2 linked regions of the Macaca fascicularis genome follow. The protein of the gene in region 1 interacts with the protein of each later gene in a biochemical or structural test. Links are inferred from orthologs where the notes say so. Each region holds a gene or a part of one and is shown in the gene's direction. Other genes may lie near its edges.

Evidence for each region.
Region 2: the proteins of SNTB2 (region 1) and PTPRN form a complex in vitro, tested with the Homo sapiens proteins (2 studies listed by BioGRID and IntAct). The link is inferred for Macaca fascicularis from reciprocal best matches to the Homo sapiens genes SNTB2 and PTPRN.

What each region holds. Positions count from the first base shown.
Region 1 is NC_088394.1:65,402,613-65,406,130, forward strand, and holds part of SNTB2 (beta-2-syntrophin), read left to right. Parts: intron 1-2,697; coding exon 2,698-2,882; coding exon of another isoform or gene 2,883-2,923; intron 2,924-3,518. UniProt on the Homo sapiens protein: Adapter protein that binds to and probably organizes the subcellular localization of a variety of membrane proteins. May link various receptors to the actin cytoskeleton and the dystrophin glycoprotein complex.
Region 2 is NC_088386.1:115,232,087-115,235,604, reverse strand, and holds part of PTPRN (receptor-type tyrosine-protein phosphatase-like N), read left to right. Parts: intron 1-674; coding exon 675-841; intron 842-3,518. UniProt on the Homo sapiens protein: Plays a role in vesicle-mediated secretory processes. Required for normal accumulation of secretory vesicles in hippocampus, pituitary and pancreatic islets.

The sequences.
Region 1 (3,518 bases):
TGTAATCCCAGCTACTCGGGAGACTGAGGCAGGAGAATCGCTTGAGCCCGGGAGACGGAGGTTGCAGTGAGCCGAGATCGTGCCACTGCACTCCAGCCTGGCCAACAGAGAGAGACTGTCTCAAAAATAAATAAATAAATAAATAAATAAAAAATAAAGCAATCTCAGGGGCCAAGCACTTTGGGAGCCCAAGGTGGGCGGATCACTTCAGGTCAGGAGTTTGAGACCAGCCTGGCCAACACGGTGAAATCGCTGTCTACTAAAAATACAATAATTACCCAGGCGTGGTAGTGAACACCTGTAATCCCAGCTACTCGGGAGGCTGAGGCATAAGAATCGTTTGAACCCAGGAGGTGGAGGTTGCAAGGAGCCGAGGTTGCGCCATTGCACTCCAGCCTGGATGATAGAGTGAGACACTTATCTCAAAAAAAACACAAACAAAAAAACCCTCTCAGGCCAGGCACAGTGGCTCACACCTGTAATCCCAGCACTTTGGGAGACCCAGGCAGGTGGATTGCCTGAGCTCAGGAGTTCGAGACCAGCCTGGGCAACATGGCAAAACCCTGTCTCAACTAAAAAATACAAAGAATTAGCTGGGTGTGGTGGTGCCCGCCTGTAATCCCAGCTACTCAGGAGGCTAAGGCACCGGAATTGCTTGAACCTGGGAGGCAGAGGTTGCAGTCAGCTGAGATTGTGCCAGTGCACTCCAGTCTGGGTGACACAGCAAGATTCTGTCTAAAAAAAAAAAACGGGGGGTGGGGGGCCGGGCACAGTGTCTCACACCTGTAATCCCAGCACTTTGGGAGGCTGAGGTGGGTGGATCACAAGGTCAGGAGTTCGAGACCAGCCTGACCAACATGGTGAAACCTCATCTCTACTTAAAATACATAAATTAGCCAGGTGTGGTGGCACACTCCTGTAATCCCAGCTACTCAGGAGGTTGAGGCAGGAGAATCGCTTCAACCTGGGAGGCAGAGGTTGCAGTGAGCCAAGATCATGTCACTGCACTCCAGCCTGGGCTACAGAGCGAGACTGTCTCAAAAAAAAAAAAACAAAAAACAAAAAAAAACATGTGCGATGGCTTATGCCTATAATCTCCACACTTTGGGAGACCGAGGTGGGTGGATCACTTGCAGTCAGGAGTTCAAGACCAACCTGTCCAACATGGTGAAACCCTGTCTCTACTAAAAATGCAAAAAAATTAGCCGGGCGTGGTGGTGTGCGTCTGTAATCCCAGCTACTCAGCAGGCTGAGGCAGAAGAATTGCTTGAGCCCAGGAAACTGAAGCTGCAATGAGCCAAGATCACGCCACTGCACCCCAGCCTGGGTAACAAAAGGAGATTCCATCTCAAAACAAAAAAAAAAAGGACTTCTAAATCTCTCTTTTTAAAATTGTTTAGACATTGCTCTGTCACCCAGGCTAAAGTGCAGTGGCGTGATCATAGCTCACTGCAACCTTGAACTCCTGGATGCAAGTGATCCTCCCACCCAAGCCTTCCGAGTAGCTGGGACTATAGGTACACACCACCATGCCCTGATACATTTTTTATTTTTAGTAGAAATGAGATCTTGTCATGTTACCCAGGCTGGTCTCTAGCGCACCTGGCCTCAAGTGATCCTCCTGCCTCAGCCTCCCAGAGTGCTGGGATTATAGGCATGAGCCTCCACACCTGGGGTATTTGCTGGTCTTGATGACCAAAATTGTTTGTATCCTGTCAATTCAGAGGTATCCTTTGAATTGTATCTTTGATAGCATTGAATGTGTGACTTTTGCTGAGTATAGCCTTTAACTTGGATGAACATAATCTTTATCTTCATCCCAAATGCCAACCAAACCATGTCACAGCTCCTGAAAGGCCTCTCTGCCTTTGGTCCTTTGGTTGTTCCTTCTCGCCCAGTTCAGTCCTTCTGCCTGTTCCTCCCTGCCTGTCCAGTTTTACCTTTTTTTTTGAGACAGAGTCTTGCTATTGTCACCCAGGCTGGAGTGCAGTGGTGTGATTTTGTCTCACTGCAACCTCTGCCTCCTGGGTGCAAGAAGTTATCCTGCCTCAGCCTCCTGAGTAGCTGGGATTACAGGCATGTGCCACCACGCCTGGCTAATTTTTGTATTTTTAGTAGAGACGGGATTTTGCCTTGTTGGCCAGGCTGGTCTCGAACTCCTGACCTCAAGTGATCCACCCACCTCGACCTCCCAAAGTGCTGGGATTACAGCTGTGAGCCACCGTACCCAGCCAGTTTTACCAGTTCTTTAGGGTCTATCTGAAGGCCCAGCTCCTCCAGGAAACCTTTTCTTGACTTTGGCCTCATTCAGTTTGGTGTTTGCTCATGTTCTGTACATTCTGCCTTACACAGCTGGGGATTTCCTGTTTATGCTAATGCGTTTACAAAGTCCTTGAGAGCAGGGACTGTGCCTCTCTTGCTTCTCCAGTGCCCTGCACAGCCTACACACACTTGCCACTATGAGTGTTCAGTGGGTACTCATGGAATTAAACTGAATCAGATGTCAAGGAGTGTTATGGTCATTTCTGCCTCATCTCAGTCACCAAAACAAAACACACTTTAGAAGATTCCATATAGGTTCGGTATCACACATTCTCAAGAAAATATTTTTCCTATTTTGAAGTCAGAAGAATCCCGTTTCACTTGATAACTGGCATAACAACTTTACAACTAATATTTTTTGCTTTTCTCCAACAGGCTGCATGTTAAATGGCCAAGAGGTGAGGCTTACTGTTCACTATGAAAATGGGTTCACCATCTCCAGGGAAAACGGAGGCTCCAGCAGCATATTATACCGCTACCCCTTTGAAAGGCTGAAGATGTCTGCGGATGATGGCATCCGAAATCTATACTTGGATTTTGGTGGTCCCGAGGGAGAACTGGTAAGAGTGTTTCTGATTTTGGTGGTCCCGAGGGAGAACTGGTAGGAGTGTTTCTGAAACACATTTTTTTCTAATAGATGTTCTCTTTCCTTCTCATTACTTCTTACCCCTTATATACAAAATCATGGACTGACATTCCATTTAGAACCATGAAATTTTTAATTAAATTTTTTTTTTTTTAAGATGGGGTCTGTGTCACCCAGGCTGGAGTGTAGTGGTGCGATCATAGCTCCCTGCAGCCTATACCTCCTGGGCTGAAGTGATCCTCCTGCCTCAGCCTCCTGAATAACTGGAACTGGACTATAGGCGTGTGCCACCATGCCTGGCCAATTTTTGTATTTTTTGTAGAGATGAGGTCTCGCTTTGCTGCCCAGGATGGTCTTGAACTCCTGTCTTCAAGTGATCTTCCCATCTTGGCCTCCCGAGGTGTTGGGATTACAGATGTGAGCCACTGTATCTGCTGTTCTCAGTTTTCCAGATGACATTGGATGTTGGTTTTTGTTATCATTTTTCTTTTTTATTTTTTTTTGAGACGGAGTCTCGCTTTGTCACCCAGGCTGGAGTGCAGTGGCACCATCTCAGCTCACTGCAACCTCTGCCTCCCTGGTTCAAGTGATTCTCCTGCCTCAGCCTCCT
Region 2 (3,518 bases), on another chromosome or scaffold:
TTGAGCCTAATTTAGCTCTGAGTTTCCTGGTGGCCAAAGCAAAGAAAGAAATACCCGTTGTATGTTACTAATGTAAAAGAGAAACAAACTTTTTCATTCGAAGAGAGACTAGGTGGAGGGGTGGAGAAAGAGGGGGAACTGGGCAGAGGCCAAGCAGGGGAAAGAGAAAGATTTCAGACAAATGGGAGAATGTGAGCCCCCACTAAGACAAAAGACCTTAAGAACATAACAGAAGCTTCTCATCACCAGATGAGCCTGAATAGTAATTTTTTCCCCACCAAATAAGCACATGACGGTTTTTTTAAAAGCCTTTCATTGGTCCTGCTGGTAGTTAATGAAAAAAATCCAATAAGAGTATTACAGAATTTCATACAAGTTTATGGCACGTGTAGCACCGACACTCCGGTAGACCCTGCGAGGGAGAGGGAGGAGAAACTCCGACCTCGAGAGGCTCACAACAATAGTTGTGTCTGGGTGGAAAAGCTACCAATGGTCCTGAGCAGTAGATAAGTGACAGGTAGCCAGGGTTCCTGGGACCGCTGGAACTTATCATTTGAACCGTCCTGGGAGGCCGGGGGGTGGTTGGAGAGACCGAGAAGGTCTCGAGGAGCGCGCGCGCAAACGCTGGGACTGGGGCAGCCCGCGGCGCTCAGGTCTGGGCCCCTGCCGGGCAGGTGAACCTGGTGTCGGAGCACATCTGGTGCGAGGACTTTCTGGTGCGGAGCTTCTACCTGAAGAACGTGCAGACCCTGGAGACGCGCACGCTCACGCAGTTCCACTTCCTCAGCTGGCCGGCAGAGGGCACACCGGCCTCCACGCGGCCCCTGCTGGACTTCCGCAGGTGAGCGCGGGCGCCCCCGCCTGGAGGGGCCGCCTGGGCGGGGGCGGAGCCGAGGTCCGCCCGCCAGCTCGGCCTGGAGCCCCGGGTCGGGCCTGGAGCCTTGGCCTCTGACTTCTGGCCGCCCCCTCCAGACCCCACGCTCCCACCCCTAAAACCAGGCCTGAGGCTCCGGCTGTGCCCGTCCCCGCGGCTCCACCACCCGCGTGGGCCAGCTCCGCGCCGGCCGCTGCTGCTCCGCTCCCTCTCTCTCACGCTCCCGGGACTGGCTCCTTCTCCTCCACCTGCTTCCTCCAGAGGGCCTTTCGCTTTCTGGTTCCCCTCCCTCTCCGGGGTCCCTGCTTCCTGTCTCCTTCCTGGTCCCTCCTGCCCCGCTGTCTCCAGGCCCTGCACTGCGCTGCCTCGCTGCCCCCTCCGTCTCTCACTCCTGCCTGCCCGTCTCCCACCATCCCTCCTCTTCATCCCTCGTTCATCCCTCTCCGTCTCTCCGCCTCTCTTTTTTTTATGTGGCTTTCATTCCTTTTACTTTCCTCTTTCTTCCTCTTCTCTCTCCCCATCTCTGTCTCACTCTGTCTCTGCCTCACCCTTTCCTTCTCTCTCCATTTCTCCCTCTCTGCCCCCTCCCCTGTTTTTCTCCACCTCCCTCCCCTGTCTGCCAGTTTCTCTCTGCCACTCTGTCCGTCTCTCCCTCTCCCTCCCCCTGCGTGTCTTTCCTCTCTCTGTCCTTCCCTCTCCCTTCTTCCCTCTTTCTCTCTCTCCCTCACAGCTGCCAGTGTCATTTTTGTGATCTGCAGCTAGTATTCTCACTCCAGTTGCATAGTCACAAAAGTGATCATTGGCAGGTGTGGCTGCTGCATGGACAGACAGGACATGTGGCCCGGGGACCACCCCGAGCTGGGAGCAAGGGGGACAGGGAAGAGGCAAAGATTGTCAAAAGGAGTGTGGGAGGATCTCTGGATTCTGGGGCGCTCAGTGGAGCAGGTGGGGACTAGACAGGGGCTACCTGAGGGGCTTACCCTTTTCCAACACTGACACCAAGACAGGTCAGCCCTCCAGCGTCCCCTGCCTTTCCCAGCCCCAGACAGGTACTTGGGAAGCCTGCCACCAAGGGCAGGGGCCCACCCGCACTGCACCCTTCTCCTGGTTCTCTGTCCCTTGCCAAGCTGGTCTAATGTCTCTAGGTACTGGACAGAGGAGCAGAGCTGGGGGTGGGGACGTGGGTATAGTTTCTGAACCTCTGGACAGCAGTTTCTAACTGGGGTCCCTGAGGCCTGAGACACAGGCATCTTGAAAGCAGTGCCAGGGTATCAGAGCTATTTCCTTTTTTCCACATTTAAAAAATCGTGATAGAACTAGTGCATGGATCTGTTTTAAAGCTGCACGGATAAGCTAAAAGATTGCTTTAGGCTGGAATTATGTAAACTCAGTTGGCATTAGACATCCAGAACAAATAAATTGTTGCTTAATAAATGTAGTTCGGGGCCAGGCGCGGTGGTTCACGCCTGTAATCCCAGCACTTTGGGAGGCCGAGGTGGGTGGACTTGAGGTCAGGAGTTCAAGACCAGACTGGCCAACATGGTGAAACCCCGTTCTGCTAAAAATACAAAAATTAGGCCGGGCGCGGTGGCTCAAGCCTGTAATCCCAGCACTTTGGGAGGCCGAGACGGGCGGATCACGAGGTCAGGAGATCGAGACCATCCTGGCTAACACGGTGAAACCCCGTCTCTACTAAAAAATACAAAAAACTAGCCGGGCGAGGTGGCGGGCGCCTGTAGTCCCAGCTACTCGGGAGGCTGAGGCAGGAGAATGGTCTAAACCCGGGAGGCGGAGCTTGCAGTGAGCTGAGATCCGGCCACTGCACCCCAGCCTGGGCGACAGAACAAGACTCTGTCTCAAAAAAAAAAAAAAAAAAAAAAAAATACAAAAATTAGCCAGGCATGGTGGCAAGCACCTGTATTCCCAGCTACTCAGGAGGCTGAGGCAGGAGAATCTCTTAAACCTGGCAGGCAGAGGTTGCAGTGAACCGAGACCGTGCCACCACACTCCCACTTGGGCAACAGAGCCAGACTCCCTCTCAAAAAAAAAAAAAAACAGAAAAAATAAATGCAGTTCAGTCAAGCCCCCTGAGAAGGAAAACAAATTAATAAAAGAGACCCTAAGAAAGTGACCCTGAGCAAGCTCCTTGGCCTTCCTCTGTGCCCCTACCTGTGAGATGAGGATGATGACACATGCTTTAGAGCAGAGGTCCCCCACCTTTTTGGCACCAGGGACCAGTTTTGTGGAAGACAATTTTTCCATGGCTGGGAGAGGGGGGTGGTTTGGGGATGAAACTGTTCCCCCTCGGATCATCAGGCATTAGATTTTCATAAGGAGCTGGCAACCTAGATCCCTCACATGTGCCGTTCACCATGGGGTTCGTACTCCTATGACAATCTACTGCAATGGCTGATCTAATAGGAGGCGGAGCTCAGGCGGTAATACTCACTTGCCCACCACTCGCCTCCTGCTATGCGTCTCGGTTCCCAGCAGGCCACAGACTGACACCGGTCCATGGACCAGGGATTGGGGACCCCTGCTTTAGAGGGTTGTTGCAAGATTTGATGAAGTATGTAAAATCTAGCATAAGTGCCTGATACATAGCAAGGTCTCAATTAACTCTAGATGCTGCCTATTATCATTA